Macaca mulatta: one gene and its partners. The protein of the gene in region 1 binds, or shares a complex with, the protein of each later gene. Links are inferred from orthologs where the notes say so. Each region holds a gene or a part of one and is shown in the gene's direction. Other genes may lie near its edges.

Evidence for each region.
Region 2: POLR2L (region 1) and TAF1B share a complex: the UniProt entries of both Homo sapiens proteins name them as parts of the pol I pre-initiation complex. The link is inferred for Macaca mulatta from reciprocal best matches to the Homo sapiens genes POLR2L and TAF1B.
Region 3: POLR2L (region 1) and POLR1H share a complex: the UniProt entries of both Homo sapiens proteins name them as parts of the pol I pre-initiation complex. The link is inferred for Macaca mulatta from reciprocal best matches to the Homo sapiens genes POLR2L and POLR1H.
Region 4: POLR2L (region 1) and POLR1C share a complex: the UniProt entries of both Homo sapiens proteins name them as parts of the pol I pre-initiation complex. The link is inferred for Macaca mulatta from reciprocal best matches to the Homo sapiens genes POLR2L and POLR1C.
Region 5: POLR2L (region 1) and GTF2H4 share a complex: the UniProt entries of both Homo sapiens proteins name them as parts of the TBP-based Pol II pre-initiation complex. The link is inferred for Macaca mulatta from reciprocal best matches to the Homo sapiens genes POLR2L and GTF2H4.
Region 6: POLR2L (region 1) and RRN3 share a complex: the UniProt entries of both Homo sapiens proteins name them as parts of the pol I pre-initiation complex. The link is inferred for Macaca mulatta from reciprocal best matches to the Homo sapiens genes POLR2L and RRN3.
Region 7: POLR2L (region 1) and GTF2F1 share a complex: the UniProt entries of both Homo sapiens proteins name them as parts of the TBP-based Pol II pre-initiation complex. The link is inferred for Macaca mulatta from reciprocal best matches to the Homo sapiens genes POLR2L and GTF2F1.

Annotation. Positions count from the first base shown.
Region 1 is NC_133419.1:734,183-738,459, reverse strand, and holds POLR2L (DNA-directed RNA polymerases I, II, and III subunit RPABC5), read left to right. Parts: upstream 1-1,477; 5' UTR 1,478-1,504; coding exon 1,505-1,599; intron 1,600-3,508; coding exon 3,509-3,617; 3' UTR 3,618-3,890; downstream 3,891-4,277. UniProt on the Homo sapiens protein: DNA-dependent RNA polymerase catalyzes the transcription of DNA into RNA using the four ribonucleoside triphosphates as substrates.
Region 2 is NC_133418.1:114,880,231-114,883,691, reverse strand, and holds the end of TAF1B (TATA box-binding protein-associated factor RNA polymerase I subunit B), read left to right. Parts: intron 1-2,516; coding exon 2,517-2,718; 3' UTR 2,719-2,961; downstream 2,962-3,461. UniProt on the Homo sapiens protein: Component of RNA polymerase I core factor complex that acts as a GTF2B/TFIIB-like factor and plays a key role in multiple steps during transcription initiation such as pre-initiation complex (PIC) assembly and postpolymerase recruitment events in polymerase I (Pol I) transcription.
Region 3 is NC_133409.1:152,983,541-152,987,718, reverse strand, and holds the start of POLR1H (DNA-directed RNA polymerase I subunit RPA12), read left to right. Parts: upstream 1-1,378; coding exon 1,379-1,523; intron 1,524-1,769; coding exon 1,770-1,870; intron 1,871-2,077; coding exon 2,078-2,187; intron 2,188-4,178. UniProt on the Homo sapiens protein: Core component of RNA polymerase I (Pol I), a DNA-dependent RNA polymerase which synthesizes ribosomal RNA precursors using the four ribonucleoside triphosphates as substrates. Can mediate Pol I proofreading of the nascent RNA transcript.
Region 4 is NC_133409.1:138,600,748-138,604,918, reverse strand, and holds the start of POLR1C (DNA-directed RNA polymerases I and III subunit RPAC1), read left to right. Parts: upstream 1-1,371; 5' UTR 1,372-1,392; coding exon 1,393-1,461; intron 1,462-1,588; coding exon 1,589-1,660; intron 1,661-3,619; coding exon 3,620-3,727; intron 3,728-3,985; coding exon 3,986-4,118; intron 4,119-4,171. Other genes in the region: protein YIPF3, read right to left, coding at 166-372, 1,007-1,087. UniProt on the Homo sapiens protein: DNA-dependent RNA polymerase catalyzes the transcription of DNA into RNA using the four ribonucleoside triphosphates as substrates.
Region 5 is NC_133409.1:152,144,340-152,148,570, reverse strand, and holds the start of GTF2H4 (general transcription factor IIH subunit 4), read left to right. Parts: upstream 1-1,431; coding exon 1,432-1,568; intron 1,569-1,829; coding exon 1,830-1,934; intron 1,935-2,322; coding exon 2,323-2,454; intron 2,455-3,040; coding exon 3,041-3,137; intron 3,138-3,228; coding exon 3,229-3,317; intron 3,318-3,533; coding exon 3,534-3,645; intron 3,646-3,806; coding exon 3,807-3,875; intron 3,876-4,057; coding exon 4,058-4,141; intron 4,142-4,231. UniProt on the Homo sapiens protein: Component of the general transcription and DNA repair factor IIH (TFIIH) core complex, which is involved in general and transcription-coupled nucleotide excision repair (NER) of damaged DNA and, when complexed to CAK, in RNA transcription by RNA polymerase II.
Region 6 is NC_133425.1:15,963,052-15,967,099, forward strand, and holds the start of RRN3 (RNA polymerase I-specific transcription initiation factor RRN3), read left to right. Parts: upstream 1-1,248; 5' UTR 1,249-1,303; coding exon 1,304-1,392; intron 1,393-2,925; coding exon 2,926-3,031; exon of another isoform or gene 3,032-3,046; intron 3,047-4,048. UniProt on the Homo sapiens protein: Required for efficient transcription initiation by RNA polymerase I (Pol I). Required for the formation of the competent pre-initiation complex (PIC).
Region 7 is NC_133424.1:7,269,515-7,273,463, reverse strand, and holds the start of GTF2F1 (general transcription factor IIF subunit 1), read left to right. Parts: upstream 1-1,149; 5' UTR 1,150-1,391; coding exon 1,392-1,403; exon of another isoform or gene 1,404-1,468; intron 1,469-1,487; coding exon 1,488-1,534; intron 1,535-2,408; coding exon 2,409-2,481; intron 2,482-3,949. Other genes in the region: adenylate kinase isoenzyme 1, read right to left, coding at 533-716, 1,083-1,148. UniProt on the Homo sapiens protein: TFIIF is a general transcription initiation factor that binds to RNA polymerase II and helps to recruit it to the initiation complex in collaboration with TFIIB. It promotes transcription elongation.

The DNA of each region.
Region 1 (4,277 bases):
GGGAAGTGGCCTCCGCTCGTGGCTCTGCACGTGGCTGGGTGGGGTATGACAAACGCCACTGGGGAAGCTGCCCAGGGCCCTGGCCAGGTTGGGAGCAGAAATCCCAAGTGTGCAGTGGATCTGGCCAGCACCACTCTGGATCCAGAAAACCCTTCATCCTCCTCCCCTGCAACTAAGGCAGACCCAGCATTGCCCTGAGAAAGCGGCAGCTGATGCCTGGAACCCAGCACAGGTCCCACCCCAGCTGGAAGCCCCAGCCCAGAGCCCCCCCATGGGTGCCACTTTGCAGCCCACCCACCCCCCCACAGCCTACCTGGCACCTCCAAGGAGTCTTCTTTGCCTCCTACTGCACACCGACCCCCCATTTCCTCACCCCCACCCTAGGGGCACAGCAAGGAGGGTGCTGGTGCCAGCCCCCCCGCACTCCATCCGAGAGACACGGGCTCCCCCTCCCTCGTCCTCCGTAGGCCCTGAGCTCCAGGGCAAGGCAGAGCTGCGGCCTTCAGCGGGTCCTGCCAGTGCAGCCTCCGGGAGTCTGCCCAGGGGTCCCCTGTGCCGGGGTCTTCAAGGTTCAATTCAAAGAGCACCTCTTCCACGACGCCCTCCCCGACCTCCCTCCCGGGCCCCCTCTCCCCGTGCTCAGAGGCGCGTCTCAGCGTCGGGACGGCCAGCAGCCCAGCAGAGCCGGGACCGGGGAGGGCGCACCCCGACCCCCTTCCTGGGAAGGAGCGGAAAGAACGCGGACAGGAGGCCGGGGCGGGGAGCAGCCGGCGGGGGCCGTAACTGCGCGGCCGAGGCCAGGACGGCGCTCCTAGGGGCTGGGCCGCGTCCAGAATGGGACCCCCGAACTCGGCGCCGAGAGCCCCGGACACCCCGCGAGTAGAGGCGGAGGCGGAGGGACCCACTACCCGGCGGGGCCAAGAGGGGCAGCAGGAAGACCCGCCCCGGTCCGCGCCCGCCCTCTCCCCAAGCCCCCGCGCCGGACCCCACTTGTTGCTGCGTGTCGGCTCTAGGCTCGAACTCGCGCGCCCCGCTCGCGTCCGGCTCCAGCCGCTCCCGGTCGGACACCTCGGGCCGCGAGACCCTGGCCGCACGCCCCCACGACCCCCCGGGCGCTCTACCTGCGCCGCCGCCTCCCGCTCGCTTCGTCCGCTCCCTCCGCGCAGCTGTCAGTCAAGCGGACACGAGAAACGCGAACCGCCACCGCGGCTTTCGGCCCTGCTCAGACGCCGTAGCTCCGGGACGCACCAAGATGGTGGGCGGGGGTGTGTCGTCTGTTGCTGCCGCGGCCGTGCAGGCCCAGGAGCCCCGGGCCGCATGGGGAATCCCCATGGCGGCGGAAACTGCGGCCAGCTGCGCCGGGGCCAGTGTATGAACGGCTGGGGCAGCGGAGAACGAGCGGAGCCGGTCCCCCCGCGATAGTGGACGCGCCCGGGGCGGGGCCTGGGGGGAGTGCTTCCCGTGCGGCCGGACCGGGCCGGGCAGTCTGGGACGCGCCGCCGCCATGATCATTCCTGTACGGTGTTTCACTTGCGGCAAGATCGTCGGCAACAAGTGGGAGGCCTACCTGGGGCTGCTGCAGGCCGAGTACACTGAGGGGTGAGGCGCGGGCTGGGGCCGGGGCTGGGGGCTGAGTCCGCCCTGGGGTGCGGGCCGGGGCGGGAGGCGCAGCGCTGCCTGGGGCCGGCGCTCCATGAGCAGCTTCATACCCGGCCACTCCGGCCCAGCTCTGTGATCTGCTTTCGGGAGAACATTGTCCCCTGAAGTCTGGGGAGAGAACGGAGTTGGGCTTCAAACCAGTGGTGTCCTGGGGATTCTAGGTGGCCTGGCGGGTGGCAGGCGTCTTGTCACCCGCAGTAAAGCCCTTGGTCTCCGTCCTAATCTCTCGTCTCTGCTCCCAGACCCACCCCATGTCCTGCAAACCTCGCTGCAGGACGGGCGGGCGCGGCGGCTCACGCCTGTAATCCCAGAAGTTTGGGAAGCCGAGGCGAGAGGCTTGCTTGAGCCCAGGAGGTCGAGACCAGCCTGGACAACCTGGGGAGACCCTGATCTCCAGAAATTTTTTCTTTTTTTTTTTTTTTTTGGGGACGGAGTCTCGCTCTGTCGCCCAGGCTGGAGTGCAGCGGCGCGATCTCGGCTCAGTGCAACCTCTGCTTCCTGGGCTCCAGGAATTCTCCCCAGTCGCCGGGACTACAGGCGTGTCCACGCCCGGCTCATTTTTGTATTTTTAGTAGAGATAGGAGTTCGCCATGTTGGCCAGGCTGGTCTCGAACTCCTGACCTCAGGTGATCCACCTGCCTCGGCCTCCTGGAGTGCTGAGATGACAGGTGTGAGCCACCGCCCCTGGCCCTCTTATCTTTTTAATTCCCCGGACTTGGTGGTGCACACCTGTGGTCCCAGCTACTTGGAAGGCTGAGGCGAGAGAATCGCTTGAGGCTGGGAGGCAGGTGAAGATTTCAGTGAGCCGAGATCACGCCACTGCACTCCAGCCTGGATGAGAGAGTGAAACTCCGTGTCACGCACACACACACACACACACACACACACAGAAAAAGAAATGCAGGGCAGACTTGCTGACCACCCTCATCATCGGGCTTTGTGGGGGAGGCATCCTTCTCCTGTGCTTGTCCCTCGGTGCTGCTGTCACCACCGTGCCTGAGTCTTGGTGCCCCTGCTGGAGTCTGACCCTTGCCTGCTGAGTCCTGGTCACATGTGAAACCCCAGGCTCGTGTGTGCCAGCCTGCCATAGGCTCTCAGTGCAGCTTGCTGGACGAATGAGTAAAGCGAGTGGGCTGCCAGAGTGAGTGGCTGGTGGCCTGTCCAGACCCTTTCCCAGGGATATGAACTGCAGGGGCCTCCCATGTGGCCTCCCCTTTCCCAAGCTTCTCTCTCTGCACATTGGAGCCATCAGTGTGGGAGTTTTCTGGAAGTATTGATGGTGACTGGACCTTGGTCCCAGGGAAATTAAAGCTTCTAATTGGCTTGGGAAATGGGAGAGGTGGCTCCCTGGAGAAGCAGTCTCTCCCTGATTGAAGGAAGCAGAGGTGAGAAAAGACGCCACAGTGGCAGAGTAGGGCTTGCTCTGGGGTGGGGGATGAACCAGCTAAGGGCAGGCCCCTGGAGAGCTACCCTGCTGTGGCTGGTGCGGGATGAGGGGAGCTGCGCATCAGGACCTCGGTGGCCTTGGTTTTCTATGCTCCCCCAATTACCTCTAGTTTTCGTTTCATTTATATTTCTTACATATGTTAGACACACATATGTACAGCCAGAGTAGGTGGGAGAGAAGGCTCCTCACGCTCCACCCAGGGATCTGGGCATTGCCAGGTTACTCCAACCAGGATCATACCCCTAGGTCTCTACTTCTCATCCAGGTGAATGTGTTCGCCTTGCCGGTAGCAGGGGAGTGAGGCCAGCAGGCAGTGAGAGGCGGCCTGGATGTGGGCTCCAGGCCTGTGCAGACCGTGGAGAACTCAGCTGGCCTCTCTGTTCCTCCCCTCGCTTGACACAGGGATGCGCTGGACGCCCTGGGCCTGAAGCGCTACTGCTGCCGCCGGATGCTGCTGGCCCACGTGGACCTGATCGAGAAGCTGCTCAATTATGCACCCCTGGAGAAGTGACCAGGCTGGAATCCGCCTACCTGCCATGCTGACCATGGGCCATGAGCATCCTGCCCCAAGTTCACAAGGCTGAGGCATCCAGGAGCTGGCGCAATGCCTCGCCACAGCGTGTGTGTGTCCCATCCCCCACTCTGGAAGGAACAATCCAGTAAAGGTCTTTCAGAACTACCAAGGTCCCAGCCCTCACTAGGATGTCAGGGGCCAGGACTAGGCCCAGCTCTCACACCGCGGCAGCCCAGGGAAGCCGACTGGGCCATGAATTCTCCTAGCCCTGGGGCCAGCCTGTTCCACAGGTACCCCTGCAGGAGGTGCTGCCAGGAGAGCCTTCCATCTCAGGGCTGAGGTTCCCTCCTTCTGGGTGCTCTTCAGACTGAGCAGAGGCTCCTGTACTCTCTCTCTTGGAATCTGAAGAGCCAGATTTAGGCCAGGCACGGTGGCTCACCCCTATAATCCCAGCACTTTGGGAGGCCAAGGCGGGTGGATCACGAGGTCAGGAGATTGAGGCCATGCTGGCTAACACGGTGAAACCCCGTCTCTACTAAACATACAAAAAAAAAAAAAACAGCCAGGTGAGGTGCCGGGCGCCTGTAGTCCCAGCTACTCGGGAGGCTGAGGCAGGAGAACTGCTTGAACCCGGGAGGGGGAGCTTGCAGTGAGCCG
Region 2 (3,461 bases), on another chromosome or scaffold:
TTGGCCCCCACTCTTTTCTGGCTTGTAGAGTTTCTGCTGAGAGATTCGCTGTTAGTCTGATGGGCTTCCCTTTTTGGGTAACCTGACCTTTCTCTCTGGCTGCCCTTAACGTTTTTTCCTTCATTTCAGCCTTGGTGAATCTGACAATTATGTGTCTTGGAGTTGCTCTTCTCAAGGGGTGGTGTTCTCTGTATTTCCTGAATTCTCCCTGTCACTTTCAGGTACACTAATCAAACGTAGACTTTTCACATAGTCCCATATTTCTTGGAGGCTTTGTTTGTTTCTTTTTACTCTTTTTTTCTCTAAACTTCTCTTCTCACTTTATTTCATTAATTTGATCTTCGATCACTGATACTCTTTCTTCCACTTGATTGAATCGGCTACTGAAGCTTGTGCATGCATCACATAGTTCTCGTGCCGTGGTTTTCAGCTCCATCAGGTCTTTTAAGGTCTTCTCTGCACTGTTTATTCTAGTTAACCATTTGTCTAATCTTTTTTCAAGGTTTTTAGCTTCCTTGCGATGGGTTCGAACATCCTCCTTTAGCTCAGAGAAGTTTGTTATTACCGACCTTCTGAAGCCTACTTCTGTCAGCTCGTCAAAGTCATTCTCCGTCCAGCTTTGTTCCGTTGCTGGCGAGGAGCTGCAATCCTTTGAAGGAGAGGAGGTGCTCTGGTTTTTAGAATTTTCAGCTTTTCTGCTCTGGTTTCTCCCCATCTTTGTGGTTTTATCTACCTTTGGTCTTTGATGTTGGTGACCTACAGATGGGGTTTTGGTGTGGATGTCCTTTTTGTTGATGTTGATGCTATTCCTTTCTGTTAGTTTTCCTTCTAACAGTCTGGTCCCTCAGCTGCAGGTCTGTTGGATTTTGCTGGAGGTCCTCTCCAGACCCTGTTTGCCTGGGTATCACCAGTGGAGGCTGCAGAACAGCAAATACTGCTGCCTGATCCTTCCTCTGGAAGCTTTGTCCCAGAGGGGCACCCACCTGTATGAGGTGTCAGTTGGCCCCTGCTGGGAGGTGTCTCACAGTTAGGCTACATGGGGGTCAGGGACCCACTTGAGGAGGCAGTCTGTCTGTCCTGAGCTCAAATGCTATGCTGGGAGAACCACTGCTTTCTTCAGAGCTGTCGGACAGGGACGTTTAAGTCTGCAGAAGTTTCTGCTGTCTTTTGTTCAGCTACGCACTGCCCCCAGAGGTGGAGTTTACAGAGGCAGCAAGTCTTGCTGAGCTGCGGTGGGCTCTGCCCAGTTCAAGCTTCCTAGCTGCTTTGTTTACCTACTTAAGCCTCAGCAACAGCAGACGCCCCTCCAGCTGCCAGGCTGCTGCCTCACAGGTTGATCTCAGACTGCTGCACGAGCAGTGAGCAAGGCTCTATGGGCGAGGGACCAGCTGAGCCAGGCTCAGGATATAATCTCCTGGTGTGCTGTTTGGTAAGACCGTTGGAAAAGTGCAGTATTTGGGCGGGAGTGTCCTTATTTTACAGGTGTAGTCTGTCACAGCTTCCCCTGGCTAGGAAAGGGAAATCCCTTCCCAGGTGAGACGATGCCCCACCCTGATTCAGCTTGCCCTCCGTGGGCTGCACCCACTGTCCAACCAGTCCCAATGAGATGAACTAGGTACCTCAGTTGGAAATGCAAATATCACCTGTCTCTGCATCGATCATGCTGGGAGCTGCAGACCAGAGCTGTTCCTATTTGGCCATTTTGGAATGGAAGGCTTTACTATTTTAAAATAAGGGAAATTGCTTGGTAAACTCTTCTCCTACAGTACATATAGTATTGCAAGCTACATTATAAAGTCTAGTGTCTTATGTTGGGTGGAAGTCGGGGATTATTTGTTTTCTTTAGTTTGTTTTAGAAATATGTTCAGAGCCGGGCGCGGTGGCTCAAGCCTGTAATCCCAGCACTTTGGGAGGCCGAGACGGGCGGATCACGAGGTCAGGAGATCAAGACCATCCTGGCTAACACAGTGAAACCCCATCTCTACTAAAAAATACAAAAAACTAGCCGGGCGAGGTGGCGGGCGCCTGTAGTCCCAGCTGCTCGGGAGGCTGAGGCAGGAGAATGGCGTAAACCCGGGAGGCGGAGCTTGCAGTGAGCTGAGATCGGGCCACTGCACTCCAGCCTGGGCAACAGAGCGAAACTCTGTCTCAAAAAAAAAAAAAAAAGAAAGAAAGAAATATGTTCAGAATATCTCCTTGTATGCTTTTGTTTGCCTTGACCATGGTAAGAAGGTGGAGTGGTGCCCCATCTGGAGTGAAGAAACTTCGAGCAGAGAGTTGAAGGACCAGCTCCTAGCACCACCTGTGGCCCTTGTGTGGTGGCCGTGGACAGTGTGAACATGTTTTCCTTTGTGCAGTTAAGGAGTTACCAAATTCTTCTAGGTTTCTTTCCAGCTCAGGGTCCTGTTTTAAGCCTAACCATATATATTTGTTATTTGGGGAGATGTTCAGGGGTTAGTGTGTGCCTTTCTTGGTTACCATCTAAAGAGAAATTATTTTTTCTTTTTCCCTTCTAGCTATTGTACACACGTGACAACCTATGAAGAATCAAATTATTCTCTGAGTTATCAGTTTATACTAAATCTCTTCTCCTTCCTGCTCAGAATAAAGACTTCCCTTCTCCATGAAGAAGTGAGCTTAGTTGAGAAGAAACTTTTCGAGAAAAAATATAGTGTAACAAAAAAGAAATCAAGATCCAAGAAAGCGAGACGACATTGAGAAAATGAAATAGAAACTTTCTGGAAAAATATTTTAGTATTGATATAACATCAGATTTTAATATAACATTCCAGAGAATTGTAGAAAATGCTGCATATATATGTATATGCTCTGACACATATTTACATATATGTCAAGTGTGCTTAGAAAATTGTATATTATAAAGCAGGTGAGCTTTGATTTTATTTTTCAGAGTATGAATATTCTAAGAGAAAGTTAAAACAACAGTAAATTATATGATTGTATTTATTTATTTATTTTTTTTTTTTTTGAGACAGAGTCTTGCTCTGTCGCCCAGGCTGGAGTACAGTGACACGATCTTGGCTTACTGCAAGCTCCATTTCCCAGGTTCATGCCATTCTCCTGCCTTAGCCTCCCAAGTAGCTGGGACTACAGGTGCCCGCCACCACGCTAATTTTTTTGTTTGTTTTTAGTAGAGATGGGGTTTCACCATGTTAGCCAGGATGGTCTTGATTTCCTGACCTCGTGATCCATCCACCTCGGCCTCCCAAAGTGCTGGGATTATAGGTGTGAGCCACCGTGCCCGGCCAGTAAATTGTATAGTTGTATCCAGAAATGTATACTCGTTGTATTTTAAAGCTAAATTTATTTTTTAAAGTAGATCTCTTCCTTATTCTTTACACCCCAGAGTAAATCCCAGATGGATCAAAGATCTAAACGTAATATTTCATATTTAAAAATATAAAAGTATTAGTAGAAAACAAATATGAATGTTTTGCTCT
Region 3 (4,178 bases), on another chromosome or scaffold:
ATTATCACAGAGAAAGGCAGGTGGGAGCCTCTCCCAGCGAAAAGACTACAGCTTGTGTCCTTCACAGGACAAAATAGTGATGGCTCCAGAACTTTCATATGAAGGAACTTAGCACAGCTATCAGAGTAGGTGGTGGTGGGAGGACTAGCAGGAAACTAGTAAACAACGACAAGCTGCCCCTTCAGGGAAAGTTTCTACTTCGAATATAAGTTACAGAGTAACGAAAATAGCAAGATTTCCGAAAGAAACTTATTCCCATGTTTTATAAAAGATCAGGGAAATGTCAGCTGTCCACTTAATGGATGACGAATAATGAATTAAGAGTTCGATAAGCGGCAGGCACAACTAAAAGCCAAACTCGACCTAAGTCTTATGAAATCCTACTTAATGAGCTTCTTGACTACTGCTAGCCTCACTTATCTGGCAGGAGTCGAAGGAGGGGAAGCCCCAAGCTCTTCTGTTCTACCACCTCCAAAGTCCTGAGCCCCTTCTCAAGTGTCCCACTTCATCCCTGCTTCCTTTCGTCCCGTGGGACTAAGGATTCCTCTGGCCTTCACCCTCACCACTTGCTGTCCCTCAAGAAGCCGACTCACCCCTTTCCAAGCGCGGTGAACCGTCCGCAAAGCACACAGGCCGGCTGCGCTCTGCAGAAAGCCCACGCTCGCCAGCGGGACCCAAGGAACGCTAGAACTATACATGCCAGAACACTTAGCTTTGTTTTTAACTACTGTGCAGCCGCAAAAGGGAAATACCAGCTCAGGACCCAGGGGAGTTGTAGTTCTCTAATCCAAAGAAGTCATTATTCAGCAAAGTACGGTTTTCAGGAGGATATTCCCCCGCGATTGGGTTCCCGTAGGATGTGAAACAGAGAATAAATATCCCAGGATTCGGTGCTGGTGGGAAAATTTGCTGGAAGCGCAGCATTGGTTACCAATTTTGTGCTCAACGTCTCAGTACCAGCCTGAAAGTTGAGCCCCAACCTCCCTTAGAAGTGGTGACTCTCCATCTCTAAGGCTTCCGAGACACGGTACGCAATTAATTATGACGTCACAGCCAATCGTCAGCGTGAAAGCGTGACGCTCTAGCCGGCTCTAGCTCGCTGCCCCGCCGCGGGCGCAGAGCTGGCGCTCTAGCCCACGGAGTTGGCCAGCTCCTCTCGCCGGCCCCAGGAAAGGGTTCCAAGTCCTTTTAGTACCCGACGCTGTCTGGGAGTTCCGGGCGTTTCGGCTCCTTGGTCGCAGAGGCAGGAGGCGTGCGTGGGAGGAGGACTCGGGTTATATACTCCTACGTCCTGGGACGGAATAGTTACCACCTCTGGGGCAGGAACTCTTCTCTCTTTTGTTAATAAACTTCTAACTCCCTCCTCAGACCCGACTGCATGTCTGTCATGGACCTCGCCGGTACTTGCTCCAGCTTTCAGTCGGACTTGGATTTCTGTTCAGATTGCGGCTCGGTCCTGCCTCTGCCCGGGGCTCAGGATACGGTCACCTGTACTCGCTGTGGCTTCAACATCAACGTTCGGGGTGAGAGGCTTGTACACAGGGGTCCTGGCGGAGGGCCCAGGATCGGAAGCTTGGGGAACTCAAGATCGGTTGGGTTGAGAAGGGGATCCTAGAGCAGGACATCAGGCAGTTGTACATTTGGTTCAGCGATGAAAACTGAGGGAAAGGATATAGGGCCTCCTGGCCTAACCAGCCAGGGGAGAGGGGAAGTTTCCGGTGTCAGCTCCCTCAGGTTGTCTCCATAACCCGTCTTACTTGCCTGTGCAGACTTTGAGGGGAAGGTTGTGAAGACTTCAGTTGTGTTCCACCAACTGGGGACAGCCATGCCTATGTCGGTGGAGGAAGGGCCTGAGTGCCAGGGACCTGTGGTAAGTTAATGAGATCAAGAACTGGCTCCATAAGGTGGGTAGGAAAGAAATGGAGGAGTGATTGCAGAGATCTGGAGAGTTTTGTGCCCAATTCCAAGTGGGAAAAGATGTAAAGCATCGATGTTTGAGAGGCGTGATCGCCTGATTCCTGTGGGAAGTAAGGGTATGATATGACCTGGCCTCCATAACCCACCAGTTTCTTCCCAGGTTGACAGGCGCTGCCCTCGATGTGGTCATGAAGGAATGGCATACCACACCAGACAGATGCGTTCAGCCGATGAAGGGCAAACTGTCTTCTACACCTGTACCAACTGCAAGTGGGTATCCTTTCCCCTCCCTTTGCTCAGTCTGTTTGCTAACTAATAAACAAATCCAGTGATTTATTTTTTTGTACTAAACGGCTGTGTCCTTTCGTCCCATCCCTTATTTCTGTGCAGTTCTGGTAAGAGGGAGATTTGTAGTTTTTATTTTTTTAAATTACACTTTTTTAACCCTTTTTGTAACCAGTGAAATAAACCTTTTAGGTTTTTTTTTTTTTTTACGGACAGGGTGTTGCTCTGTCACCTAGCCTGGAGTGCAGTGAGGCAATCTTGGCTCACTGCAACCTCCGCCTCCTGGGCTCAGGTAATCCTCCCACCTCAGCCTCCAAAATAGCTTTGGGACCACAGGCACGTGCCACCACACCTGGCTTTTTGTTTTGTTTTGTTTTTTGTATTTTTAGTAGAGATAGGGTTTCTCTCTGTTTCCCAGGCTGGTCTTGAACTCCTGAGCTCAATCAACCCACCTCAGCATCCCAAAGTGCTGGGGATTACAGGCATGAGCCACCCTGCCTGACCTTCTTTTAGGATATTTAAAAGGAAATGAATAAAAAAAACCAGAAGAAGCAAGTATTGTTTAGTGGTCAGCGTCTTATACTGCAGTCTTCAACCGCAGTCAAGGTAGCTTTACTTTGGAGAGAATTAGTCACACATGATTTAGAGAACATGGGCTTTCTGAATGCTTTTAAGACCTCATCTTTGTCTTTGGTGTTCTGCAGTCACTATAGTATATCAAAATGTGATTTTCTTTTATTCTGTTTGGGATTTGTTGGACTTTCTGAAACTGAGAGTGCATTGTTGTTTTTTGTTTTTTTTTTTGAAACGGAGTCTCGCTCTGTCTCCCAGGCTGGAGTGCAGTGGTGTGTTCTCCGCTCACTGCAAGCTCCGCCTCCCGGGTTCATGCCATTCTCCTGCCTCAGCCTCCTGAATAGCTGGGACTACAGGTGCCCGCCACCACGCCCGGCTAATTTTTTGTGTTTTTTAGTAGAGACAAGATTTCACTGTGTTAGCCAGGATGATCTCGATCTCCTGACCTTGTGATCCACCCGCCTCGGCCTCCCCAAGTGCTGGGATTACAGGTGTGAGCCACTGCGCCTGGCCTAGAGTGGATTTTTTTTTTCATCAACCTTGGAAAATTATCAGCCATCATCTCTTTTAATATTCTCTTTCCCCCATGTTCTCAGTCCTCACATTCTGGACCTCTAATTAGTTACTAGAATGAGATTTCTCTCTTCTGTCCTCCATTTCTCTCGCCTTCTTTTCATATTTTCAATCGCTTTTCTCTTTATGCCACCTTCTGAGTAATTTCTTCAGGTTCCTCTTCCATGTCACTAATTCTGTCTTCAGTTTATTTCAAGTATTATTATTTTTTACTATTGTTATTATTTTGAGTTCTATTTAATTACTTTTCAAATCTCAATTTTTAAATAATTCTCAGTTCCTTAATAATATTTTAAATTGTTCCTTTTACTAGTCTTTATATATTTAAAATATTAAATGTGGTTATTATATTCTATGTCTCATAATTCTGATATCCGTGGATTTTGTGTGTCTGATGCTGCTGTCTGTTTCTGCTGTCTCTCTCATAGTGCTTTTTTCTTTGTTTTGTAATTTTTGACAATAAATTTGAGTTTTTTAGAACTTGAACTGTAGGAATTCTCTGAGGCCTTGGGTAAGTGTTGTATTCTCAGCATTTGTGTTTCTTTTCTAGGTGCCTTGAAGCACTATCAAGCTGGAATTACTTTAAATAAATTCTTGGCTTCATGTTTTTTGGAGCAGACAGATAGTATGAATTTGAGCTGCAAATCCATGTAAGGGCTAGCTTATGGCTAGAAATTCTCAGGAAAGAGTTTTCTCTCTTTCTACCTACTGAGACAGTCAAATTCCCCTTCTATAGAGTTGAATTTCTTTCTTTTCTTGTTCACTTTTACAAAAAAGGGCAGGCTTTTGCAGTTCCCAAATTTATGCACAGGATCTCCTATCAACCTTGC
Region 4 (4,171 bases), on another chromosome or scaffold:
AGGTATTGTGGGACTGTTGGTTCTAGACCCTGTTGCCTATTTTCCGCTTGATTTCTACATGGTTCTAACTGGACAACCTGGGGCAAACATCACCAACACCAACTCCAGAACATGGGACATACCTAGGTATACCTTTCCACCTGCAGAAGATTCAATCATGCTTACCTGATCTGCCACCTGCCGGCTCAGCTGTCCCTTAAAGCCTTTCATGCCCAGGAACTCTCCATCCTCTTCTTCAGCAGCAGCTGCATCAGCTGCATCAGCGTCTACTTCTTCCTCGCGCAGGCGCTGATGCAGCTCACCCATATCCTCGAAGCTAGAGCCTGAGGTATCATCCATGTTCTCCATGTCAATCACAGCTGAGCCTCCGCCCTGTGAAGACAATGGCTCCTAGAGTGCAGGACTTTTCTGTTCCATCCATTAAGTCCTCTGCTCATCCCAGGGTTTAGGGCTTTGTTCTTCCACTGCTGAGGATACGGCTCGGAATCACTACAGATCATGCCACTCCATTCCCCCTCATATGCTCTCAGAACTCTTGGTTTCTAGCTTTGGCTGAATTTTCTAGCCTGGGAAACATACTACTAGTCTTCCATTCCTGTCTTTTTCCTACCTTACCTACCAAAGACTAAAAGGCTGAAAAAGTGCCCATTTCCTTCTTTCCTAAGCCCCAAACAAAACTATACACATAATATGTTTTCAGCGAATGCCAGTGAATCCCACCCAACCCCACTCCATGCCTGACCCCGACCAACTTCCTAACTTGTTCCAAGAATACCTTCTTCCTAATGCCTCGAGCGGGCCCAGAGACCCGAGACCCTCAGGCTGGAGTACTAGTCTGGCCCTTTCAGGTCAATGTTAATCCTACTGACTTTAGTGTGCACGAAGACCCAAAGAAGAGAGTTTTGCAAATGGAGCGGACTTCCAGGCCCACAGGAAGAATCCTCAAGACACTTCTGGACATCGCTGGCCCTCGGGTTGCTGGCAGCTAGTGCCTTGGGGCCATTACCTGGATGTTTTCTTCGAACCCTCCCCATTCCGGGCCAGCTCCATTTCGGGCGCCGCCCGCCGGCGCCGCTGTAGTTGCCATGTCCCTTGAAGGCTCCCGTCGCTGAAGCCCGCGCTAGCCCCGCGCGCGGAGGAGTGGGCGAGACGTGGGCCTTAGTGAGGGAGACGTCCCGGGTCGAGGAGAGGTGGGATCGGCCGGAACACAAAAAAGAGAAGCCCGGATGTTTGGACAAAACCAACTTCCGGAGGCTGGGGACGTGGACGGAAGCGGGGAAAAGTCTCGCGATATTTAAGATTCCAGGCGGTGGCGCGTTGCCACGGAGACGGAGCCAGTCTACTAGGACGCACGCGCCAGATAGAGCCTCCAGTCTCGTGGAGAGATTGAAGATGGCGGCTTCTCAGGCGGTGGAGGAGATGCGGGGCCGCGTGGTTCTAGGGGAGTTTGGGGTTCGCAATGTAAGCCTTGTGGCCTTGAGCTCGGGCGGGAGGAATGAGAGCGGAACAGGGGTGGGTCTTGGGATTGGCGTGGGGATAGCCGTGGGCTCATTGTCCCTTTGTGGACAAACTCGTCCCTTTGCTCTAGGTCCATACCACTGACTTTCCCGGAAACTATTCCGGTTATGATGATGCCTGGGACCAGGACCGCTTCGAGAAGGTAAGTGGGGCCGAAGTTGTCTGGGGAGGGTTATGAAGGCCAGACCCTGTGGCCTGAGCAGCCTGTGTCTGTCTCAGCAGCTGCTTTTGGGGGTCGCTCCGTTTGTGTTTGTTGAGCAATGTGCTAGACGCTCCGTTTACAGGCCAAATTAGACACGGTTTCTATCTCTGCAGAGATATTCCGTCTTGTTGAGGAATGGTGCGTATAAACAAGTGCATCTAGTGTAATATGGTGAAGGTGGTTGATAGCGATGAAGACGGCAGGGTTGGGGTGGGGAGCATTCCGCTGAGACCAGGAAGAGGGGCCGAGAGGTACTTAACATTTCAAGAGGAGGGGACACCTGAATTGAACCTTGAATGGTAAGTAAAAAAAAAAACAGGAGTTGAATTATGAAAGATTTGAGTTTCACGTCAGTGAAGTTCAGGATATGCAGGTTTTGTGTGTATTTAGTCTTTTGTATTATTGTTTCACTTAGCTTAAAATAAGGGTTAAAATTGCATTTAAATAGATTACTGAATGTTACTCTTTATGCAACTGACCTAAATGTTACCCTTTATGCAGCTTATAAACATGATGTGTAAATCAGTGCCTGGGAAAATTTTACTTTTTTAACCTGTTGATACAAGGAATAAAGTATGAACAATGAAAAAGGCTAATGCTTGAAAAAAAATTATGACTTCTGTGACATGTGCTCCGGGAATGTCCAAGTAGTTCTGGCATGAGTGGTCGGCAAGATTGAAGTGTGTCACACTGTGGATGATAGGGAGCTTGAATAGTTTCTTAAGCAGACATGATCAGATTTGCAACCTTGATGGCTGGGAGGGAATGAGTTTGAGGAGGATCATATGGAGCAGGCAGATCTGTTGTAAGGGAAGCTGAGGTTGAAGATATGAACTAAGACTGATGGTAGAAATAGAGCAAAGGAAGAATATAAGGTAAATTTATGATTGCTTGGATAAAGGCTGTGGGGGTAGCATAAAATGACTTTTTCTGGCTTGGGAACTGCTTTTTGCTTTGTGGTATCATTTACTAAGAGGAGAAATGGGTCTGGGGAACAGGGATGATGATGCATTGTTTTCTGTATGTGGGGAAATCTAGCAGGCTAGAAGACTGCATGCTTGAAATGAGATCAGAAGTGAGATAAAATTTTGGGAGTTGTCAGAACAGATAGTTGCTAAAACTGTTAGTACAGTTAAGGTGACCTGGGAGAGAGACAAGAACCTGGCAAATTTAGAGATGGGTGGAAGTTGATCATCAGAGATGGAAGAAGAGTGGAGCTCAGAAACCAGGGGAATCGTTCAAAAAAGGGGATTTTTTTTTTTTTTTTCCTTTTCATGAGACACTCTTATCTCCCAGGCTGGAGTGCAGTGGTGCAATCTTGGCTCACTGCAACCTCCGCCTCCTGGGTTCAGGCAGTTCTCCTGCCTCAGCCTCCCGAGTAGCTGGGACTACAGCTACGCGCCACCATGCCCAGCTAATTTTTTGAATTTTTAGTAGAGACGGGGTTTCACCATGCTGGCCAGGCTGGTCTCAAACTCCTGACCTTGTGATCCGCCCCTCGGCCTCCCATAGTGCTGGGATTACAGGTGTGAGTCACCGTGCTGGGCCCAGAGGAGGTTTTTTAATCAATGTCAAGCATAACAGAAGTCTAGTAAGAGGACTGGGTAGTGTCAACAGGACTAAGCACTATGGTAGTTTCTGTTCTTTAGTGGAATAGCTTCTGTGGATGGTTTGGTTGGAAGCCATATTGCATAGGGTTTTAATGAATGGACGACAAAAATGGAGACTTTTTATGAAACTAAAGCACTGGGCGAGAAAGAATATTTAATAAGGGACATCTGGGCAAAGGGAGGTTTTTGGATGAGAGGATAATACTTGAGGGAATTATCTAAGGGGGAGGTATGAAGAGATATTACAGAGAGAGCAGGTTTCACTTAAATGTTTTTCCTGTCCCTCTAGAATTTCCGTGTGGATGTAGTACACATGGATGAAAACTCACTGGAGTTCGACATGGTGGGAATTGACGCAGCCATTGCCAATGCTTTTCGACGAATTCTGTTAGCTGAGGTATTGGCAGGCATGGTGACAAGGCTGGAGTTGCTTTGGGAACTGCACTGACACCTCACTTGGAGAATTGTCTCAAGCTGTCCTTCCCTCATTTTTCCTGGAATTTTGCTGAGCATTTTACCTTCTCATTCTTTGTAAATTTCTCATTAAACATTCTAGGAAGAGAGATAGCTCCTTACCTCTGGAGGGTGGGGTTGTGGGGATAGGTAGGGGGTCTGTTGGGTTTTTGCAGATAAGTGGTTATTTTTCCTTGGGCAGGTGCCAACTATGGCTGTGGAGAAGGTCCTGGTGTACAATAATACATCCATTGTTCAGGATGAGATCCTTGCTCACCGTCTGGGGCTCATTCCCATTCATGCTGATCCCCGTCTTTTTGAGTATCGGAATCAAGGTAAGAAAATGAAATTTTGGGAGAAGTGGACTGTCTGGGTTCAAATCCTGGTT
Region 5 (4,231 bases), on another chromosome or scaffold:
ATTCACCTGCCTCAGCCTCCCGAGTAGCTGGGATTACAGGTGCCCGCCACCACGCCCGGCTAATTTTTGTATTTTTAGTAAAGACGGGATTTCACCATATTGGCCAGGCTGGTCTCGAACTCCTGACCTCGGGTGATTCGCCCGCCTCGGCCTCCCAAAGTGCAGGGATTACAGCAGTGAGTCACCGCGTCCGGCCCGGAGTGTGCATTATCCCAATTTTACGGGGAGTAATTGTGCTCACGGAATCCAGTTTTGTGGTCCCTAAGTCTAATCGGTTCACCACCAAGTCGCCACAGCGCGCCTCCGCACGGAAGCCCTCCAGGCACTTCTACTTTCCCCGACCCGCCTCCCGCTCCATCGGGTTACATGCGCCGTTAGCAGCGTGGGCGGAGTTGGTTCTGGCAGAACCAACTGGTCCGGCTTCTGGTGTCTCCCGCTCTCTCAATTAAAAGCCGGCTCCTTGCCTTTCGGCTTCCCCACCGTGCCTTTCGGGATTTGTAGTCAGACGCACTTCAGCCGGCTCTAAGGAGAGCAAAGACAAGACTCCAATTCCCAGCATCCCCCGCGCCGGGAGTGTGCATCGTCTATTCTAATCCTCTTCACTTTTCCACTCCTCCCCTTACCTCCCTTCTCTTCTGAATTCTCCATTCTGGGCTCTTGCCTGTGAAATCTTTCGTCGCTTTCCCCATCTTTTCTTCGCATTTTTTCACCATCTTTCCCTCAGTTTCCAGGAGCCAATGCGAGACTTTGGCTCCGATTAAGCGACGGCCCGAGACTCGGGGTGCGCGAGGAGGATCGACAGAGTGGTGAGGGGACCTAGGAGGGCGGGAGTGGGAGAGGTATGAGAGAGACAGGTGAGTGAGAGGCGAGGAGTGGGAGGAAGGCAGGGAGAAGCTAGGAGATCGGAAGGCGTGGGTCAGGGTGAATGGGGTGAACTAGACTTGGGAAGGGAAAAGAGGTGGCTTTAGATTTGGGAAGCATGGAGGGGAGAGGTTACCGCCGTACTTAGCAGAAGTGGGCTAAGAGATAGAAGATAGGAAGTTCGGGTAGATTTGGAGCTTATAGACTGATCTGACCAGGAGGGATGGAAGAGAGAGGTGTGGGCTCAATTTTCTTTGTCTCTGTTTAGCCGAAGATGAGACAAGTCATTGAAATACAAAATGATCTTGCAAACACAGGACAGTTGACAATTCTGTCACTTGGAGCAGAGGAAAGACTGGAGTTGAAGGGCAGAAACAGGGTGAGGAGGCAAGAAAGGGATGGAGATTGGTCAGGTTTTTGAGAAACCAGAGGAATTGAGTGTCATGGGAAAGGAGGCCACAGAAAAGGTGGGGTTATTGTGGGGACTCATGGATCTGGAATCAGAAAGGTCAGGGGTGACACTGGCATGGATGGTGGGGGTGCGCTTCTGATGTCTGCATTCCTCAGGTGATGGAGAGCACCCCTTCAAGGGGACTGAACCGAGTACACCTACAATGCAGGAATCTGCAGGAATTCTTAGGGGGCCTGAGCCCTGGGGTATTGGACCGATTATATGGGCACCCTGCCACTTGTCTGGCTGTCTTCAGGTGAGGATCCCCTTCATGGCAGGGAAATGTAATGGGGTCTGCGGACTGGAATAAAATATAACAGATAAAAGTGTAGCAGGCTGGGGTAGGGGTGGGGACTCGGGGTGCGGCTTGGAAATTGCTCCAAAGTGTGGGGGCCAAAACAGCAGGACTGGTAAAGTTGTGGTGGAGTGAGATGAGATGTTTGAGAGTTAATTGAGGGCAGAGATGCAGATACAATGCAGCTTCTGATATTAACCTTTGACCTCTGTCCCTGTTCAGGGAGCTCCCATCCTTGGCTAAGAACTGGGTGATGCGGATGCTCTTTCTGGAGCAGCCTTTGCCACAAGCTGCTGTAGCCCTGTGGGTAAAGAAGGAATTCAGCAAGTAAGTCTCAGCCAGATACAAATTTCTCAACAGCTACATTTCCCAAACTACTGTTCCTTGGAGCACTTCCAGGACGTATTAATAGGTATATCACAAAACTTAAAAATAAATACATTTGGGAAACTCTGCATACTGCCTTTTCCCTTTTATTTATTTCCCAGCTGACCTCTTGCTTTCAGATGTATCTTCCCTCTTACAGAGTTATGTGTGATATCTGTAATAAGGCTCTGATAGGTAATGCAGTAAAGAATTTGTCTTCAGATACTAATATCACTCTGTGGAACAGTGTTCCAAGGATCAGCAAGTTCAGAACAGGCAGAGAGGTGGCTTTTATGGTCCTCCTTTTTGTTCTCCAAATACCCTGCTCACCTCTCTGCTTCTGTTCCAGGGCTCAGGAGGAAAGTACAGGGCTGCTGAGCGGCCTCCGGATCTGGCACACCCAGCTGCTCCCAGGCGGGCTCCAGGGCCTCATCCTCAACCCCATTTTCCGCCAGAACCTCCGCATTGCCCTTCTGGGTGGGTATGTCACTTCTCTCTCTTCCTAAGCTAGGGCAGGGGAACTGCTGCTTATTAAACCGCTAATTACAGTTTGGGAGGGGGAGCTCCTGGGGGCCTCCCCGGAACCTTGTGGTCTCCACGTTGGGAGCTCCTTTAGGAGTAAGTTGGATCAGCTGCAGTGTGTGGTGTAGGAAATGTCCCCCACTCATGGCCCCTGAGGATAAGGGTGGAAAGATGGCAGAAGGGTGGCAAGGAACACAGACAGGGTTCCTTACTCTTTTTTTGTTGTTTTGTTTTGTGTGTTTTTGAGACAGAGTCTCGCTCTGTCACCCAGGCAGAGTGCAGTGGTGCGATCTTGGCTCAATGCAGCCTCCACCTCCTGGGTTCAAGTGATTCTCCTGCCTCAGCCTCCTGAGTGACTGGGATTACAGGCAACCACCAGCTAATTTTTTGTATTTTTTGTAGAGATGGGGTTTCACCATGTTGGCCAGTCTGGTCTCAAACTCCTGACCTCAAGTGATCCGCCCATCTTGGCCTCCCAAAGTACAGGGATTACAGGTGTGAGCTCCTGGCCAGGGTTCCTTACTCTTGGCCCATCCTGGCCTTAGGGGGAAGGCCTGGTCTGATGACACAAGTCAGCTGGGACCAGACAAGCATGCCCGGGATGTTCCCTCCCTTGACAAGTATGCCGAGGAGCGATGGGAGGTAAGCACTTGGGACTGTGTGTGTCTCTGCTTGTGCTTCTACTTCCCATGGCCCTTGGGGCATGGTCTCCCTGTTCTCTTCTGTTCTTCAGGTGGTCTTGCACTTCATGGTGGGCTCCCCCAGTGCAGCTGTCAGCCAGGACTTGGCTCAGCTCCTCAGCCAGGCTGGGCTCATGAAGAGGTGAGGAAACCGGAGGTATAGCAGCTCTCTGCAGTGCCATCTCCTTGGGTCCCTAAGAAATGGTATCTGCGGCTAGTCAAGCTCAGAGGACATTAGCTGGAAAAGGCAAGCTGAGTAGAATACAGCCAGAGATACAAAGAAAAAATGTGAGCGGACAAGTGGGGGTAGTAGTCTTTCTCTGCATATCACCGTCATTGTCCCGGTCTTTGTCTGTAGTACTGAACCTGGAGAGCCGCCCTGCATTACTTCCGCTGGCTTCCAGTTCCTGTTGCTGGACACGCCGGCTCAGCTCTGGTACTTTATGTTGCAGTATTTGCAGACAGCCCAGGTGAGGACGCCGGGGCCACTTGCCAGCATGCTCTGCTCCTCTCAGGTCTCACTGAGAGATTCCTGCCTACAGACTGTTCCCTGATTTTCTCTTCTCTGTCCCTTTCTTCCCATTGTCTCCCTCCCATCCCTCCTCCTTTGTCTCTGCCTCTTTCTCCCTAGAGCCGGGGCATGGACCTAGTAGAGATTCTCTCCTTCCTCTTCCAGCTCAGCTTCTCTACTCTGGGCAAGGTAAGCAGGGGGCTGAAGGGTATAGAGATGGGAAGGAAAAAGCAAATTGTGGGGCAGTAGAGTGAGAAGATAAGAATGAACACAGAACGAGCAGAGGTGGATGGAGAAAGACAGAATGAATGATGGGGTTGGGGGTGGGTGGGTTGTGTTTTGGACCCCAGCTGGAAACCTCTGTTCCTCAGGATTACTCTGTGGAAGGTATGAGTGATTCTCTGTTGAACTTCCTGCAACATCTGCGTGAGTTTGGGCTTGTTTTCCAGAGGAAGGTATGAGCGCCTAGATGAGTGGCTTCCAGGGAAGAAACAGGGTGGTGTGTTGCCTTCGCCTTTAAAAAGGAGTGGGGTCCCGGGGAAGTA
Region 6 (4,048 bases), on another chromosome or scaffold:
TGATGTTATCTCCCTGGCTCAAGCAATCCTCAGTCTCACGAGTAGCTGGGACTACAGGTGTGTGCCACCACACCTAGATAATTTTTATTGTTTTTATTTTTTAAATTTTTCGTAGAGATGGGGTTTCACGGCGTCACCCAGCCTGGATATTTTTGTATTTTTGATAGGCCTGTATAGTTTCCAAAGTTGCAACCTTTTCCCCTCCCTGAGGGTAGGGGCAGCCTCTGCTCTCCCTCTACATCCCCTACAGTCCCGAGGTTTTGGCCTCTGCTGTTTCCTGTTTCCTATGCTTGGAACACCAGTCGCTCTTTTGTTGGTCTGGTTGACTCCTGTTCCTCTTTTAAAAATTTAAGTTTGGCCAGGCACGGTGGCTCACACTTGTAATCCCAGCACTTTGGGAGGCCGAGGCGGGTGGATGACCTGAGGTCAGCAGTTCGAGACCAGTTTGGCCAACATAGTGCAACCCCGTCTCTACTAAAAATACAAAAGTTAGCCGGGTATGGTGGCATGCGCCTGTAATCCCAGCTACTTGGGAGGCTGAGGCACGAGAATTGCTTGAACCCAGGAGGCGGAAGTTGCAGTGAGCTGGGATCACGACACTGCACTCCACCTGGGCAACAGAGACGGAGGTTGCAGTGAGCTGAGATCACGCCACTGCACTCCAGCCTGGGCAACAGGGCAAGACTAGGTCTCAAAAGAAAGAAAAAAAAAGTCAAGGGGGTAACACCTCTTGGAAACTCTCCTGCTGTTTCTCATTCCAGCATCATCACAGCCTTGAGGCTCTGGGGTAGATCACTTCGTCGAGCTCGTTTACGTGAGGATAACGTTATCTTGGTGGTCTGTAAGAATGTTGCATTGAGTACAGAGCCCAGGCTCCTGGGTCACCCGGGTTCAAATCCCCTTTCCTCCGTGAGGATCTGGGTCAATCACAGTGCTTCAGTTTCTTTGATTTAACTGAGGGAGGCTTTGACTCCAAAAAATTAACACTCGAGTGTACCCGGCCACAGCTTAGCACATCCAGAGTATTTCCACCCTTTCTTTGGGATTCTTGGGCCTGGATGGAGCAGGACCTTCCTGCCTCTCCTTACTCGCGCATTCGCGCTGAGTGGAACAAGTGGTCCAAGTAGAATGAGGGGCGGGGTTTGGCGGCGCTCTAGCTCGCGGAGAGCACACGCTCTCCCCACGCGGGGTCCCTGATTGGCTGAAGGTTGCGCCGGCAAGCGCAACTTCCGGGACAGAGGGCTGTGGCTGGAAGGAGCAGAGCATCCGGCCTGAGGCGCAGCGGTCGTGTTAGTTCGGCCCAATGGCGGCACCACTGCTTCACACGCGGTTGCCGGGAGATGCGGCTGCTTCGGCCTCTGCAGTCAAGACGCTGGGCGCGTCGAGGACTGGGTAAGATTCAGGCCGCTTCCTTCTGCGCGTCCGAGACCAAAGCTCAGGACTGCGCTTAGGGGAGCGGATTGAAAGGGTCTGGGACAAAGCTAATGGCGTGTGGTAAGAGCACGGGGTCGAGGGTCATCTCATGTTCGCGGGAATGAGCTCATTCCTCATAACTGGGTAATAGACATGGGTGGGGCCTGGAAAAGTCAGTATATTATCTGTTCTGGAGCCCCCCTTTCCCGACTGTATTTCTTCGTGATTTCCCAGGCCTCGGTACTGCCTTCTGCGCCTTGACTCCTCTTCCCGCTTCTTCGTCCAAATTTGGAAGGGATTCCCTGGGCTATTCGGTTTATCAGCCGAATGTTGTCACTCATGGCAAATTGAATATTACATCTTTTTTGTTTGAAATTTGTTTCGACACACGTATTTGTTTAGCAGTCTTTATTTTGCTCCGCTTTTAAATCCCTAACCCCCATAGCACACTTGGCGTTTAACTTTCAGAGTCATTAGGATGCTATGTTTTTTCATTAATTTACTCTGTGTAAGTAAAGCAGACCTTGTAAAACAATTAGCATAATATGATTCATAATATTTATCGATCTCCTGCTTACTATGTTAAACACTGGGGACAGTGGTTTATCCAAAGACACTAATGTCCCTGCTTTCTACAGAGCTTATATCCTATGGGGGAAAGGCAGTACATAGGCCAATAAATTACGATGGTTTCAGTTATACAACAGGGTAATGGGGAGGGAGAAGGGAGAGAAGGAGTACTTGAGATTTCTCGTGGGGAAGACATCTGACATTTGAGCTTCCACTTGAATGAAGACAAAAGTCTAGGCAGGGAGTAGTTGCTCACGCCTGTAATCACAGCACTTTGAAATGCCGAGGTGGGCGGATCACCTGAAGTCAGGAGATCGAGACCAGCCTGGCCAACATGCCAAAACCCCATCTCTACTAAAAATACAAAAATTAGCCGAGCGTGGTGGCGGGTGCCTGTAATCCCAGCTACTCAGGAGGCTGAGGCAGGAGAATTGTTTGAACCCGGGAGATGGAGGTTGCAGTTAAGCTGAGATCACACCACTGCACTCCAGCCTGGGCAGCAGAGCAAGACACATCTCAAAAACAAACAAACAAACAAACAAAAAAATCCAGCCACGTGGAGATTTGGGAAAAGAGTATTTCCGATAGAGTGAACAGTAAGTGAAATGAGAACCAGCTTGGCATGTCGAAGAGCAGAAAAGACATTATGGCTGTAGTAAAACAAGGTGTTGGAGATGAGGTGAGAGAGGTAGGCAGGGGCCAGATTAATGTAGGATCTTAAATACCACACTGAGAGATTTGAATTTTTACTATAAGTGCAGTGGGAAGACAGTTTTCGGTTGCTGAGCAAAGGAGGGATTGTTGGTTAGGAGTGGAAGCAGGGAGACCAGTAAAGAGGCTTTAACAATAGTTCCACTGAATGATGTTGGTTCAATAAATGTTGGCTATTATAATTTTTAATATTTTCATGAACTTAATAGCTTGTTAATTTTGGTTCCACAGGATTTCAAATATGCGTGCATTAGAGAATGATTTTTTCAATTCTCCCCCAAGAAAAACTGTTCGGTTTGGTGGAACTGTGACAGAAGTCTTGCTAAAGTATAAAAAGGTAAGAGGAGATAATGTATGAGGTTTGCTTTTGGTCAGGTCAGAATACAACTATTGCTGTTATACTAAAGACCAATAGAAATAGCAAGCTTAATTAAGATACCAGTTGAAATCAAATATTTAATAATAGCATGATGCCGTCAGTGCAAACTTAGAGTAATAGTGTCCTTTTTTTCCCCCACCTTGGCCCGTTTCACAGGTAATAATGAGAGAGTAATAATGTCTTTACTGAGGTTTCACCTCTTCACATGCTTTATTTACAAAGCATCTTTTAGCTTTAGCAAGTGCTAGAATTAAAAACAATTACAGAGTTTTATTTACTTATTTATTTTTATTTTTTTAATTTTTTGAGCCGGAGTCTCACTCTGTCGCCCAGGCTGGAGTGCAGTGGCGTGATCTCAGCTCACAGCATCCTCCACCTCCCAGGTTCAAGCAATTCCCCTGCCTCAGTCTCCTGAATAGCTGGGATTACAGACACGTACCACCACACCTGGCTAATTTTTAAATTTTTTTAGTAGAGATGGGGTTTCGGCATGTTGGCCAGGCTGGTCTCAAACTCCTGACCTTGTGATCCGCCCACCTCGGCCTCCCAAAGTGCTGGGATTACAGGCGTGAGCCACTGTGCCTGGCCTACAGCATTTTATTTTTTGAGGAACTTACCTAAGCATTACTTTAGGACAGTAAACCATCATCTGACTAGAGATTTTTGTTTCTGTGGTAGTTCAGAAGCATTTCTACTATATCTCAGGAGTAGAGGGAAAATGTTAAGTAACCGTATGTTTATATGTAATATCCATTTGTATCCATATTTGAGTGAATACTTTTTTAGATCCTCCTGAATAGATCATTATAGCTGGCTGTTTTTTTCCCTCATGCTTTTTGAGAATTCGCAGGAGTATCAACTGTTATATTCAAATGTCAATACAGAAGTATAGCCAAATGTAGTTTATCATTTTCCTTTTTCCAAGCCCTCTGGCTGCACTAACATGAGTGTTTAAATTTTTGTAGTCATGATTTT
Region 7 (3,949 bases), on another chromosome or scaffold:
TGGATGAGGAATAAATGAAACCAGACACATCGACAGTGTCTGTAGTTCATGGCCCAATTTTTGTGTCTTGCTCCCCTTCCCTTTGCTTAGCCAACTCCTATGCATCCCTCAGTGCCCAACTGAAACCTCCCCTCTTCTCTGAGCCCTCAGAGCCCACTGTGCTTCTCCTGCTCCTTCCTGGGTTGTAGATTCCCATGTTATGAGTCTGTCTCCCCCACGACACTGTAACCCTCGAGAGGACACTGTAACCCTCGAGAGGACACTGTAACCCTCGAGAGGACACTGTAACCCTCCGTTGGGAGCTGGTTTGACAGATTCACCTTGCGGGGCCCCGAACCCAGGAGGTGCTCGAGTATTTCCGAAGTGGAGCAATGAATGGTTGCGCCGTGAGCATGCGCAGTTGTGTTACTGCCATGACTGGGGCGTGTGTGCATGCCTGGAACGGGGTAGGGGATCCTGCATCTCCCTACTGTTCTCTGCAGCCTCCTTCCCTTCCCCCCAGGAAGCCAGCCAGCCGCCCCCGCGACGTTACCCTTCTCCTGGGGCCTCAGAGCCCTGCCCATCTCGGGCAGCTTGGACTTGCAGAGACCCATCCAGCCAGCAGGCCTTGGGGTGGTCGCTCCCCGACCCCGCCCAGGCTCTGACCCCTCCTGGCTCCGCACAACGTCACAAGGGTCCCCGCCCCGGTCATTTTGCGACAATGACGGGGTCCATTCCTTCGGGGGAGGAAATGAACCCCAAACAGGCCCATGGGGAGCCAAGCAGCGGTTCGACCCAACCGGAGTAGGCCTCGGTTGCTATGGTGACGCGGCCTTCTTGGCCCTCCCCAACCCCGGTCCAGAGCGATATGGCGCATGCGCAAAGTGCCTGGGGGCCCGCAAGGAGGACTCTTCTCCCTCTCCCCACCCAGGATGCCCCGCGGTCCTTGGGTGTGACGTCACGAGGGAGGGCGGCCCCCCATTTGATGAAGTTAACTGTGTTGTATAAAAGAGCGCCAGCGACAGAGGCCGGTTAGTTTATCTCAGACTCGGCCTGGGTTTGCTGAGTCTAAGAAGGGACCGTGGTGGCCCTTTTGAGGTGACCATAGCCGCCGAGGAGCATAAGTGACTGCGCATTGAGGCGGCCACAGTGGCTAAGAAGGTTGCCATCGCGACGCGGCCGCTGGAGGGTTTCGCTTCCGGGTTAAGCGGCCGCAGAAGCGTAGACGGAGTAGCTGCAGCGCCTCTTCCGGTTACCTTTTCCCAGTGCCGGAGGCGCCTGGGGTTGGGGTCTTCGCTCAGGGACAGAGACCCGACAGCGAGCGGCGGCTTGCCCGGGATCGAGGGACGCGCACGCCAGAGGAGACGAAAGGAACCCGGGTCGGACCAGATCGGAACCACTGACCATAGCCCATGGCGGCCCTAGTGAGTGTGGATTTGGCGGGGTTCCGGGGTCCCGACGGCGACCTCGGCAACTCCTCACTCACCGTCCGGTTCCTCTTTCCGCAGGGCCCTAGCAGCCAGAATGTCACTGAATACGTCGTTCGAGTTCCCAAGTAAGTGTCCAGCCCCATCTCCCCCTCCTCTCCACCCTCCAAAAATGAAAACCTTCACGGTCTTCTTAGCCAGGCGTTTCTGGCCCTGTCTGTGATTCTCCCTCCAGACTGGGAGAGACTTGGAGGGCAGGGCTGGGATTAAGCTGAGGCTTCCCTGGAGACAACCCTGCTTTTTTAAACGAATGAATGAATGAGTGCATTAATAACACGGCGATCCAGCCCCCTGGCCTAACCTTCGATCCCATGATGCTCAGGCCAGCTGTAAAGAACATATTCCTCGTCCTGTTTCAAAATGGTCGGGCTATCTTTCCTTTCTAGGCTTTTGTACATCCTGTTCCCTCTGCCATGAGTGCCTCCCCTCAACCCCTAAACTGTGACTCTGCTGGGTGAATTCTTGTTGATTCTACAAAGCTCAGCTCCAGTATCTTCCTCCTCCAGGAAGCCCTCCATGCCTGTCCTCCCTCCTCCCCAAGGCTGAGTTCACAATAATCTCCACATCTTGGGTTCCCTCAAATCTTTGTCCCTCCATCTGCTCTTCTTCTGCCTGGGGTCAAGAGGGGATGGGTCTAGCTTCTCTGGCAGACTGGGAATCCTTGGAGTCTTCTGTATCCAGTGTTGCCAGGCAAAACAGGCTGAATGAATCGAATCGGGGTGGGTTTGTTGAGTGATTGAATTGAATAAATGATTCAATTGAATGGAATGATTGAATTGAATTGATGGTTCAATTGGATTGAGCGATTGAATTAATGATTTGATTGAATTAATGATCCAGTTGGATGGCTGATTGAATTAATGGTTCAATCGCATTAATTCATTAAATTAATGATTGAACTGCTGTATTGGATTGACACCACCTCTTTCTAATCCACTCCAGGAATACAACCAAAAAATATAATATCATGGCTTTTAATGCAGCCGATAAAGTCAACTTTGCTACGTGGAATCAGGTAAGTCCCTGGGTCCTGGGGGTTGGGAGCTGGGGTGGTGGGAGAACATGACCCTGACCTTGGTGATTGTAATAGTTGCTTAACTGTCATAGTAACTAAGTCTTAATTTTCTCACTTTTCTCAAAATGAAGAAAAGATAGATGACAAAGGATTGGGTGCAGTAGTTCACACCCCTGATCTCAGCACTTTAGGAGGCCGAGGCAGGAAGCTTGCTTAAGGCTAGGAGTTCAAAACCAGCCTGGGCAATGTAATAGCAAGACCCCAACTCTACAAAAAAATTAAAAAATTAGCTGGGGCTGGTAGTGTGGGTCTGTAGGCCTACATAGGAGGCTGAGGTAGGAGGATCGCTGGAGCCCAGGGGTTCAAGGCTGCAGTGAGCTATGATTGCATCACTGCACTCCAGCCTGGATAATAGAGCAAGACCCTGTCTCAAAAAAAAAAAAAAAAAAAAAAAGTCCGGGTGCCATGGCTCAAGCCTGTAATCCCAGCACTTTGGGAGGTCGAGGCGGGTGGATCACGAGGTCCGGAGATCGAGACCATCTTGGCTAACATGGTGAAACCCCGTCTTTACTAAAAAAATACAAAAAAGTAGCCGGGCGAGGTGGCGGGCGCCTGTAGTCCCAGCTACTTGGGAGGCTGAGGCAGGAGAATGGCGTGAACCTGGGAGGCGGAGCTTGCAGTGAGCTGAGATCCGGCCACTGCACTCCAGCCTGGGGGACAGGGCGAGACTCCATCTCAAAAAAAAAAAAAAAAGAATGACAAAGGCCCAGGTCAAGCTCCTGGGTGTCCCTGTAAGTTAGGTTTGGTAGGCCCACCGGAGGCCTCTCCTTAAAGGAGAACATTCAGAAGTTGTGCCCACCGATGGGCATTTTTGACCAGGGTTTATCTGGGCAAGGGAGGGGACTGGGCTGGGGGCTTTCCCAGAGCCCCTGCCATCAGAGGCTCTAGAAAGGAGTTTGGGAGCCATTAAAGTGTTTTCAACTGGGAGGTTGTAGTGTGATCTGGCTGTTGTGGGGAGACAGACTGTGGGTTTGAGGGCAGTTAAAGGGAGACCGGGTAGAAGCAACTGGTCTGGTCTAGGTGAGTCCTGGTGGGCACTGGGGGCAGTGGAGGTTATGAGATGTGGCTGATTCTAGAGTGTTTTGGAAATGGTATATATGGACCTTAAATCAAGAGCTTAAGGGTAATTTGGATCATATTAGCCACATAGGTCACGATAAATGGTAACATTTGTAGAGATTTTGGTGCCTTAATGTCAGCAAATGTTGCACAATGAGATTCTTTTTATTTATTTTATTTATTTATTTTTTGTGATGGAGTCTCTTGTTGTCCAGGCTGGAGTGCAATGGCACGACCTGGGCTCACTGCAATCTCCACCTCCCAGGTTCAAGCCATTCTTCTGCCTCAGCCTCCCAAGTACAGGTGCCTGCCACCACGCCCAGCTAATTTTTGTCTTTTTATGAAGTTT